Cricetulus griseus: one gene and its partner. The main gene of each other region encodes a partner of the protein of the gene in region 2 in a complex. Links are inferred from orthologs where the notes say so. Each region holds a gene or a part of one and is shown on either strand. Other genes may lie near its edges.

Region 1 (5,636 bases), about 44 Mb from region 2:
AGAGGGTGGAGGTCAGTAAGGAGTCCTGTCCCAGCTAAGACACTAATGGAAAGTGGTCCCTATTGGGAGAGAAAGAGTCCATCTTTGAGGGTGTGGCCCCTGGTAGTCACCACACTCCACTAGAATGCCACACAGCCAACAGTGTATGGGCAGTAAGAATTGTGTTGATGAGTTTTTATTTAAGGATAGTTTAGGTGGGTAGGGAAGTGGGGGTTAGATCTGAGGGGGGTTGGAGAAGAAGATATGAATTTATCAACTAATCAGATGAGAAAATATATAAAATGACAACAAAAATAAGAGGAAGGGCTGGGGTACAGCTCAGGGTAACTCTTGCCTTGCACCTGCGGCCTTGGGCTGGACACCCAGCACTGCAAAACAGATGCTTGAGCTCTTCAGAAATGAATCAATGCTCAAAGCCACGGTAAAAAAAAACAAGGGGAGGTAGCAGAGGAGCAGGTAGAAATTCTGAGAGCTAAGCAATGGCATCAGCTCTCATTTTTATTAAAAACACTGAACACTGGTCAAAAGACTGAAATGTGGGCTGGGGGTATACTCAGTTGGGGTGCTGGTCTAGCATGCACAAAGCCCTGGGTTTGACAGCCAGTAACACATAAAAGTAGACATGGTTGCCCACACCAAAGTAGAAGAGGATCAGAAGTTCAAGGCCATCATTAGCTACATAGCAAGTTCTAGTCCAGCCTGGGATATATGAGACCCTGTCTGGGGGAGGGGGAGTATTGAAGATTATCAGTGAAAACAGATATGATTCTAAGATGTCAAGCCAACCTAATTTTCCAATATGATAGACGAGATTCAGTCTTGGAAAGTTACTAAGATGGACGTTGGCAAGGGAGAATGAGAGCAGGTGCTGGGAGCAGAATTCCGGCCCTCTGGAGAGCAGATGATGATGTCTGTCGCCTGTGTCATCTCTTCAGCTCCACGGCTGGCTTCCTTTACATGTCTTACACACACTGAGATTCTGATTTCTTTCTCATAGGTGTAGAATTAATCATTGTCTATATTCTGTTGTTTTTTGTTTTTATTAAAGTAAAACTTTTTATTTACCTCCCCCTTTCCAGTATCCTATCTTGAGATCAACTTTATGCAAATGGCACTGCATTAGCATACAAAATCTGGGATTACAAGTGTGCAGCACCAAGCCTGTATTTCCTGTGAGTGCTGAGGTCTAACTCAGGTCCTAATGCTTACACAGCAAGCATTTTACCTACTGAGGCAGCTCTTCAGCCCATTACAAGATTTTAAAAAGTTGCAGATTTAAAAAAAGGTGGCATCTGCCTTTAATATCAGCACTTGGGAGGCAGAGGTACTGAATCCTAGTCTACATGATGAACTGTGGGCCAACCAGACTACATAGTGAGACACTGTCCTTACATCAAAACCATTGCTTTCCTTGGAATTTTATAAGTGGAATTTTTTGTTTGAACAGTCTTACTATGGAGCCTTTTCCACCCTAGTACTTGTTATGTACACCAGGAAGGGTTTTGGTTTGTTAGATAGATAGATAGATAGATAGATAGATAGATAGATGGATAGATTTTTTTTTTTTTTTTTGCAGTTTCAAGACAGGTTTTCCTCTGTGTAACAGCCCTTGCTGTCCTGGAACTCCCTTTGTAGACCAAGCTGGCCTCAAACTCAGAGATCTGCCTGCCTGTACTTCCCAAGTACTGGGATTAAAGGTGTACACCACCTCTGCCTGGAGTGGAATTTTTAAAAAATGATCTCTTTACCTTATGGGTATGGCTGTTTTGCCTGTGTGTGTGTGTGTATGTGTGTGCGCGCGCGCTCACGTGCATGCATACCATGTACACCCAGTGCCCTTGAAGACCAGGAGAGGGCACTGAATCCCCTGGGCCTGGAATTGCAACTGTGAGCTGACATGTAGGAGCTGGGAACTGAACCCAGGTCCTCTGCAAAAGCAGTCAGTGTTCTTAACCTCTAGGACATCTCTATTTTGATTCTAGTTTAGTCAAATGTCCAGGAGACTCACCTGCTGCTCTTTCTTAAGGAACAATTCGATCTCCGTGTGAACTCGGTTCTCTTCTTCAGTTTTCATCCTCAGTTTCTGTAATGCGTCAAACACAGGCTCTCTCCTCAGCAAGGCTGAGGTCAGCAGTTCCCAGGCAACACATGCAGCAAGAACCCCAGGAATGCCAGGACTCCCCAAAGAGCTATCTAGCCATTTGTACTCCACAAACCATGCAGAGTCACAGGCTGGCTCCTCCTTAGACACACACAAGGGCCCCAGAAAATGCCGTCACAACCCTGTCATCTAAAAACAATGCTTCAAAGGGTACAAGAGTCTCATCCCAGAGAAGGAAAGTATAGAATTCAAGACAGCCCACACCTGGAATCCCAGCATTCTGGAGGCTGAGGCAGGCAGACCAATTTAAGGCCAGCCCATCACGACAGAGTGAATTTGAGACCAGCCTGAACTACAGAAACCAATGACGGAGGAGGAAGAAGAAGGATGAGGAGAAAATAACAAAACAACAAAAAATCAGGGGTTAGGGGTGGTCCAAGAGCAGCACCTGGGAAGTAAGCTTTCACAGCAGCCTTCTCCAAGTCATGGAAAGAAGCAGGAGTGGCTGGAGCAAAGGCTGCACTTCCAGAGGACCCAGCAAACATATGGTGGCTCACAACCATCTATAATGAGATCTAGTGCCCTCTTCTGGCCTGCAGGCATACATGCAGGCAGAACACTGTACACATAATAAATTTTTAAAAAGAAGCAGGAGGTATAATCATTAAAATCTCTAATCACAAATATTTAATGCCCCATTTAATCTTTTATGTTTGACCTCAAGGCTGCACTGGCCATGAAGGGAAACCTTAATCATCTTCTTCCTCTTTCACCGGCTGAGGCAGGAGAGAGCCCAGCAGTTAAAAGAGTGCACTGCTCTTGTTAGAGGACCTAAGTTTAGTTCTACCCCCCAGGTTGGATGGCTCAAAACCACCTATAACTCCAGGCCCATGGGGCCCAATGCCTCTAGCCTTCCTGGGCACTAACAAGCACACACCTATACATAATATTAAAATATGGAGCTGGAGTTACAGGAGGTTGTGAACCTCCCAACATGGGTGCTGGGGACGGAAAGCAGGACTTCTGGAAGAAATGCATGTACTCTGGTTTGTTTGTTATTCTAGACAGGGTTTCTCTGTGTAGCCCTAGAGGTCCTAGAACTCACTCTGTAGACCAGGCTGGCCTTGAACTCACAGAAGTCTGCCTGCCTCTGCCTCCCAGGTGCTGAGAGTAAAGGTGTGTGCCACCGCCCAACTAAGAAGTGCACGTACTCTTAACAGCTGATCCATCTCTCCTGCCCAAGATAAATCAATCACTTTTTTTAAAGTGACAGCTCACATGACATCAAGTCATCTACCCAGGTTTTTGTTTTGATGTTTGTTGACACTGGAAGGTGGACTCAAAACCTGGCATATGCTGTCACCAAGCTCCATCCCCAGATAGCCTAGTGTAGCACAGGTTACCTCAATCTCCTCCAGCAGGTGTTCCTCTGCTCTGCTACATTTCTTCTGGGTCTGGGAAATCTGCAGCTCAGTGTTTCTTTTCATATAAAGATTCTCCAGGTTGGTTTTGGCCTTCATCTCTTGTAACTGGTCCTTGAGGTGAGCAATGTATTCATTCCCATTCTGCAGAGATGAGACCGGATTTCTGAACTAAAATTTTATTGTGCTTCTAAGGCAACCGGCAAGTGGGGCTGGCTTTCTCCCAGCACACTGAGGGAAACTACTTAGTCATCACGATATTGTGAATGAAAATGAATCACAGAACCAGGAGACAGAGCATAAGGCTTGTCACAGATTCCAGACCAATGAGGACCACGGAGTGAGAATTTATCTCATTAAAAAGAAAAGCAATGCATGGTGGAACACATCTTTAATCCCAGCACTCTGGAGGCACAGGCGGGTAGGTTTTGTGCATTGGAGGCCAGCCTACTTACATAGCAAGTTCCAGACCAGCCAGAGCTACACATTGAGACTGTCTCAAAAGGAGGAAAGAAAATGAAGCTGCGTGTAGTGGTTCATACCTATAATCCCAGCCCTGAGAAAACAAAGGCAGAAAGTTCGGGAGTTCAACGTCATCCTCAGCTACATTCTTAGCTGCTAAAAGCCAGCCTGGACTACAGAAGACCTTGTCTCTAAAAAGGGCAGAGGGGCTGGCCATAAGGCTCAGTGGATCCCTGCCACCAAACCTTATGATCTGAGTTTGATCCCTGGGACCCACATGATAGAGAGCGAGAGAATTGACTTCCTCAAGTTGTCCTCTGACCTCCATACATTCGCTCCACACACACAATACTAAATAAATGTGAGGAGTCGAGGGACATCATCTTTGTTTGCATGTTAGTTTGTTTTTTGAGACAATTTCTCTGTGTAACATCCCTGGGCTGTCCTGTAACTCACTCTGTAGACCAGGCTGGCCTTGAATTCACAGAGAAATGCCTCTGCCTTCCAAGTGCTAGGATTAAAGCTGTGCACCACCACCTGGCATGCTTCACAATTTTAAGGTCTCAAAACTCACTAACTTTTTAAAAAAGAAAATTCTTCAGTAGCAGACACTGAGCTAGGCAGTAGTGAACAATGGAGACCTAACCAGCCATAGTCCCATAAGGGTTCCAGTTTAGTGGAAGGGTGTTGTGAAAGGAAAGTGTGTGGACTTATCTAAATTGTGTGGGTGGTGTGGGAGAAAGATAGGCTCTGGGAGACACAGTAAAGGTGACCTCCATTAACACAACATCTAAACAGAAGGTTTACATTATATCATGCAACATTATGGAACTTTTTATAAATTTTGTAAAAAAGAAGAAGCCTAAGTCATCTGGATTTAATGCTATTGCCTTAAGCTTCTGAATTATTTTCCTTCCTGCTTTACATAAACATCTTTTGCAAACACATCTCACAAAAACATTTTATCAACAGTGTGAAATACAGAGTAAAATATAAAATCTTAGCTGGCATTAGATGCTAAAATCATGACTGAAGTATTATTCCAGCAATTGAACTGAAGTTCAGGTCCATTTTCATATATTCCCACAAAGCAAAACATGCCACCCGAGGCACATCACATTCCTGCACAGACACAGCACACACTGCAGAGACACAGCACACACTGCACAGACACAGCACACACTGCACAGACGCAGCACACACTGCACAGACACAGCACACACTGCAGAGGGACAGCACACACTGCACAGACACAGCACACACTGCAGAGGGACAGCACACACTGCAGAGGGACAGCACACACTGCAGAGGGACAGCACACACTGCAGAGGGACAGCACACACTGCAGAGGGACAGCACACACTGCAGAGGGACAGCACACACTGCAGAGGGACAGCACACACTGCAGAGGGATAGCACACACTGCAGAGGGACAGGACACACTGCACAGACACAGCACACACTGCAGAGGGACAGCACACACTGCACAGACACAGCACACACTGCAGAGGGACAGCACACACTGCACAGACACAGCACACACTGCACAGACACAGCACACACTGCAGAGGGACAGCACACACTGCAGAGGGACAGCACTGCAGACAAACGACTCAGGAATTTCTTTTAAGGCCTTTCACTCAGAGATCTGC
Region 2 (6,319 bases):
CACACACACACACACACACACTAATAGTTTAAAGGGTCAGCTCCCAGCTGGGGGTGTGGCTCAGAACCTTTGCCTAGCATGAATGAGGCCCTAAGTTTAAAAATTAAATGTAGTTGGAGCTGTAGAGATAGCTCAGCAGTTAAGAGTACTGGTTTCTCTTCCAGAGGACCCAGGTTCAATACCCAGCACCTGCATGGTAACTCACAACCCTCTGTAACTCCAGTTGTAGGGGACACAACATTGTCTTCTGGCCTCTGAGGGCACTGCACACATGTGGTACACAGATATCCAAACAGACACACATGTAGGCAATACACCTATATACATAAAATAAAAACTTAAAGAAAATACTGGGCATGGTATCAGGCATTGTAGCACTAGAGAGGCAGAGCTGGGTGGATCTCTGTGAGTTCAAGGCCAGCCTGTCTACAGATTGAGTTCCAAGACAGCCAGGGCTACATAGAGAAACCCCGTCTCAAAAAAAAAAAAAAAAAAAAAAGAAGAAGAAGAAATTTCCCCTGTGCATAAAACAGAATGTGATTCTGCCATAGAAAAGAATGAAGCTAGACATGCCTCCTCCATGGGCGAACTTTGAGATGGTGGTGAGGGAGGAGCCTCGCTCCCACCTGTGTGCCCCCACACACACATCCCAGGAGATACCACATGTCTTGGGCTTCCCCACTCCTGGATGAGCCCTGCCCTGCCTTCTCTACCCCGAGACCTCAAGGCACCTTCCTCAGGGCCTGCTCCACCTCCCGATTCTCCATGACCAGGTTGTGGTACTGCGAGCGAAGCGTCAGGATCTCTTGCTGTATCTTGGCCAGCCGAGCCTGGGAGGCCCGGTAATCCACCTTCTGCTGCTTCTCTGCCTCCTGCTTCGTTCGAAGGAGGCTGATCTCTGAGAACTTGAACACCTGGTGCAGGTGGTTCTTCAGCTCTTGGATCACAAAGTTCTCCTTCTCCACCTAGGCCAGCACGAATGAGGATGGGGCCCCATTAATTGCCACACAGACTCCCACAATCACAGGGGCAGCTGGCCTTTGGTTGTGCCCTCCCTTAGGGTTTGGAACCAGCCAGGCTTATGCTCATCTCAGGTCTGGGACCACATGCTCCCCTCCACCTAGGAAAGGGATCAGCAAACAAAGGCTCATAAGCCAGATCCAAACAGCCATACCTGTCAATAAATTGAGACACAGCCCTTTTGTTCTGATACTGTTTTTGGCTGCTTCCACACTAACAGCAGAGTCATGTGGAGACAACTGGCCCACTAAGCCCAGTGTGTGGATTGTGTGACCCTTTGGAGATGAGATACAGAGCCAAAAAGAAAGCAGGCTGCAGGAAGACAGCAGCTGCTGAGGACCCACAGCCATCAAGATGTGACAGATCTGAATTGTAACTAACCCTGGGACTTACTATAATATACTAACTAGTCAACTGTGGGTGGGGGCAGGGTTGGTAGCAATGTGCATACAGGTACACTTTAAGCTTCCTATAGAACCTCTGAATGTTCAAATATTCAAACCTGTCCATAAGATGAAACACAGCTCTGTGTTCACAGCTGTAGAGTAGCCTGCTGTAACTCTCTGGATATGTGCTTGCATGTATGTGCACCCTCACCAGTCATCCACCTCTCTCATTGGCCTGGAGCTTGTGGCTTAGGTTAGGCTGGCTAGCCCCTGGTCTCAGGGGTCCCCCATCCCTACCTCCCCAATGCTGAGATTACATAGGTACACCATCATACCAGCTTAAAAAAAAAAAAAAAGTGGGCTCCAAGGCTCAAACTCAGATTCCCCAGCTTGTACAGAAAGCTTTTTACCCACTCAGCCATGCCCTGACTGCCCTGGAATTCTCTCTGTAGACCAGGATGGCCTCGAACTCACAGAGATCCACCTGCCTATGCCTCTAGGATGCTGGGATTAAAGGTGTGCTCCATCACTAGCCAACCCTGTACTTCTTTTCATAATAGGCTTTCACTTTTCTTTTGTTTCAATATTCTTGGATTTCAGATTTCTTTTAAGATTGAATATAATTTTAAAAATTGTGTGTGTGTGTGAGAGAGAGAGAGAGAGAGAGAGAGACAGAGAGAGAGAGAGAGAGAGAGAGAGAGAGAGAGAGAGAGAGAGAGAGAGAGAGAGAGAGAAATTGTACACATGAATGCAGGGCGACATCCCTGGGAGCTGGAGCTACAGGTGTTTGTGAGTTGCTGGACATAGGTGCTGGGAACTGAACTCTTCTGCTCTGCTAGAGCGGTATATACCAGGTGTGATGGCACAGGCCTTTAATCCCAACACTCAGGAGGCACAGGCAGGGAGATCTTTATGAGTTGAAGGCCAGCCTAGTCTTCGGCATTCCAGACCAGCCATGGCTGTGCATTGAGTCCCTGTGAGTCCCTCAAAGGAACAGTATGCACTTTTAACCACTAAGCCGTCTCTACAACCCCTCCCCCATGTATCTGATGTCTCTCCTATGTAAGATGAAGAACTCACTTAGCTGGTAACAAAGACACCTTGCCAGCCCCAGAGCATCTGGGTGGGACTCCACGTAGGACATCAGGGTCACCAGCCCCACTTTTTGTATGGCCTCATCCAGGACTGACATGACAGTCACTTGTCTGGCTCAGTCCCCCTTTCTTTTTTTTGTTTTTGTTTTTGTTTTTTTTCGAGACAGGGTTTCTCTGTGGCTTTGGAGGTGTCCTGGAACTAGCTCTTGTAGACCAGGCTGGTCTCAAACTCACAGAGATCCACCTGCCTCTGCCTCCCGAGTGCTGGGATTAATGGCGTGTGCCACCAATGCCCGGTGCAGTCCCCCTTTCTTGATCCTTCTTGTCTTAGTGGCAGTGTCCCTGGTCCTTCCGGCCCGAGTTCAGTTCTCTCGTATCATCCCTCCATGGTGCCCTGTCCTTACCCTTCACACTTCCGAACAGCTGTCAACTAATTCCTTAATGTCCTGTGAGCTCTTGAGGCTGGATTTATTTAATGATATAACCTCCTAGTAAAATGCTCAGGACAATCTCTACAGAGTAAATGATGAGGAAGCTATTTGAATCAACGAAAGAAAAGCCAAGTCCCAAAGGGCTTGGCCCACGCAGTTCATCCCGGAACCTGAGGGATGCTGGGAAGTATACCTCTGCCTCCTTATTCTTTAGCACCTCCGCCAGCTCGGCCTGGAGAGCATCAATGACTTCTTGGTTCCTTTCATTCCTCCGGTTGATGTCCTGTATGAATTGGTTCTTCTCCCTTACTTCCATAGGGCTGGTGAGGAGCTTTTCAAAGAGGTAGCCCCGAAGCTCTATCAGGGCCTCAAGGAGGCGCTGCGCCCCCCGGCTTCTGCCTGGTGCACGTGCCTGCAGCAGTGTGATGATTTGGGATTGGCTGGACAGGAGCCTCAGGATGGCCTTGGTGGAATCTCGGAACTGGTGTGCCAGTGGCCACAGGTTGGCCTTGTATAGTTCTATAGACATTAGGCGGTCCCGGCACCAGGCTTCCTCAGCATCCGCCTTCTTTTCCTCCAGCAGTTTTTGTTTCTCCTGCAGGTTGCTGGCACCCTCCAGAAAGACCTGGCCGATGTCCAGATGTTCTCTGATGGCCCTCATCAAGTCTTCAGGGAACACTCCCTCCAGAGCATCTGGGTGGGACTCCACGTAGGACATCAGGGTCACCAGCCCCACTTTTTGTATGGCCTCATCCAGGACTGTCATGATTCTCTTGGCCTCGATGGTGTTGAGCTTGGATTTGGATGGGGTCAAGGTCTTCATTGGCATAACTGGGATTATGTCTGTACTCAGTGGGATTCTATGGATGGCCAGGCCATCGTAGGAAGGGGGCATGCTGAAGATGTCCAAGGCCAAGGCCATCTCTGGAGCGGCTGACTTTGCCTCTGTATACCCCGGCATTGAGACGTCAGCCAACTCAAGGTTCTCCTGGCTTTTCAGTCAGCAACCCTGCAAAGGAAGGGGTGGCTGTTAGGTATAATGGCCATGACACCACTCCATAGAACCTGGAAGCTACTTTTAGCTCTTTGGATTTTTGTTTTGATTTGATTTTTTGTTTGTTTGTTTGTTTTTGAAATAGGATTTCTTATAGCCTAGTCTGTCCTTACCCCTGACCCAAGTGCTGGGGTTACCTTATCTTTTAGCATTGTGATGATGCTTGGTGCTTGACTGAGCCATTGGAGTAAGAGGACTGAGGGTGGAGGGGAGTCCTGGGCACATATACCAGGCAAGAGACAGTCACTGTTCTGAGGACTTTCATATGGGGGTTACCCAAGTGGCAGAAATGTAGAGAGGCCAGCTTTAGGCAGCGGAGGTCACCTAGCAGTGTCAACAGCAAGAAGTCACACAGGGAGAAGATGTGAGTTGGGGGGACCAGGGGCAGCAGACCCCAGAGGAGTTGAAGCTGTAGCTGGAAGTGCTGTACAAGCAAAGCAGAGCGTGGAAAATGTGCTCTGCCCCTGCTTGCATTTCCTCCCCATGTTGCCCCAAACCAGTGGGAAATCAGCTGAAGAGCCTGGGTCACAGCCCAGCACACAGAGGAGGCTGGGACAAGGCACCACAGGTCACAGAGTAGGATGGGACATGGACACAGTAGAAAGGTCATAGAGTAGGACATTAATAGGACAAGACACAGACAGAGCTGAACAGGTCAGCTCTGTCCTGAATGACAGTGAATGTCCTGAATGTCCTGAATGGGGCAAAAGCAAGCAGGGTGGGTAACAGCGCACCAGCACATGTCAGGAATGTGTGTGTTTGGGTGTAAGTGTGTAAGTGTGTAGGTGTGTATGCCCCTGTAGTATCCATGTGAATAGAGTGTTGGTGTGTGTAGATATGCATGTATGTGTGGATGAGCATGTGTGTGGGGATGTATATGTGTGTGTAGTGTATGCATCTGTGTGCATGTGAGCACACATATTACATGTCCATATGCAGGCTAGAGGTCACCATTGGGTATCTTCATTTATCCATCTCTTACTTGTTTTTTGAGACCAATCAGTCCATGTCCTGGACCAGTGGTTCTCAACATGTGGGTCGTGACCCCCATCAGGTATCATGAATATTAGATATTTACATTATGATTCATAACAGTAGCAAAATTACAGCTATGAAGTAGCAACAAATAATTTTATGGTTGGGGTCACCACAGCATGAGGAACTGTACTAAAGGGTCACAGTGTCAGGAAGGTTGAGAACCACTGTCCAGACTAGGTTCTGAAACAGAGAAGGGCATCAGAGTAACAGCTGGGAAGCCACCAAGTTCAAGGTTTGGTTAGCAGTATTGTATCAATAGCGTCTTACCTATGTGTTTCTTTGTTTGAGGCAGAGCCTCCTGTAGCCCAGGCTGTCATGGAGCTTGCTATGTGGGAGAGGATGTCCTTAAACTCTGGCCTCCATCCCCAAATGTGAGGAGTACAGGCACTGCAGTCACACCAGGTTTGACAATGTTACTTTCTTAGTTCTGACCTATAAAGTAACATCTCGGGAATTGAATGAAGTATGCAGAGAACCTATATTATCTTGACAGGTTTTCTACAAATCCATAATTACTACAAAGTAAGAGGTTTGTCTGAGCAACTATCTCAAAAAACTCAATGGTGACATCAGAAATCAGTAATTTTGTTGGCAAGCTGATCATAGTGTCACATACCTTTGATCCCAGCAATCAGGAGGCAGAGGCAGGAGAATCTGAGTTTGAGGCCAGCCTAGTTTACATAGTGAGTTCCAGGACAGCCAGAGCTACGTAGTGAGACCCTGTCTCGAAAAACAAAACAAAAATTGCCGTGGCTTTGGTAGCACAGTGGCAGTAGCAAGAACTTGCAGTGGCCCCGATGGGTCTGGTTACCCCTGGGGGTTGGGCCTAGTGCCATTTTCCATAAGGCAGGAATCCTTGTGTTCAATGGAAGTTGTGAGCACATGAGTCTTCGACAGCTAATATTACACTGTAGGCCCAGGGAGACTGAAGAGTGAGTCTGGACCACCGCAGTGTCACGTATGAATGCCATCTCCATGTTCAGCCTGGCCCTTCCTCATGCTCCTTACCCTGCTGATGTCCCCACACGGACCTGCTTAATTATTACCATCTTCTCCAAAGACGTGTCTGCCAACAGAAGCAGGGGATTGTGGGGCTTGTTACACACTGTGACTAGAGAAGCCTAGAAAGAGTGTGTGGAGGGGAGGACAGAGGACTCATTCTTGGACTCTGAGTTCCCAGCTGCCATCACTGAAGGGGACAGTGGCATTGATGCCTCTGTCTGCTCAAGTCTGTGTCCTTGTCAGGTAAAGGCACCCAGGTTTTCCCAGGAAACCCAGCAGCATCATAGACAGTTG

The links.
Region 1: Iqcd (region 2) and Iqcg share a complex: the UniProt entries of both Homo sapiens proteins name them as parts of the nexin-dynein regulatory complex. The link is inferred for Cricetulus griseus from reciprocal best matches to the Homo sapiens genes DRC10 and DRC9.

The regions. Positions count from the first base shown.
Region 1 is NC_048597.1:56,513,273-56,518,908, reverse strand, and holds part of Iqcg (dynein regulatory complex protein 9), read right to left. Parts: intron 3,667-5,636; coding exon 3,505-3,666; intron 2,084-3,504; coding exon 2,009-2,083; intron 1-2,008. UniProt on the Homo sapiens protein: Component of the nexin-dynein regulatory complex (N-DRC), a key regulator of ciliary/flagellar motility which maintains the alignment and integrity of the distal axoneme and regulates microtubule sliding in motile axonemes.
Region 2 is NC_048597.1:100,409,768-100,416,086, reverse strand, and holds the start of Iqcd (dynein regulatory complex protein 10), read right to left. Parts: upstream 3,921-6,319; 5' UTR 3,893-3,920; coding exon 3,125-3,892; intron 966-3,124; coding exon 732-965; intron 1-731. UniProt on the Homo sapiens protein: Component of the nexin-dynein regulatory complex (N-DRC), a key regulator of ciliary/flagellar motility which maintains the alignment and integrity of the distal axoneme and regulates microtubule sliding in motile axonemes.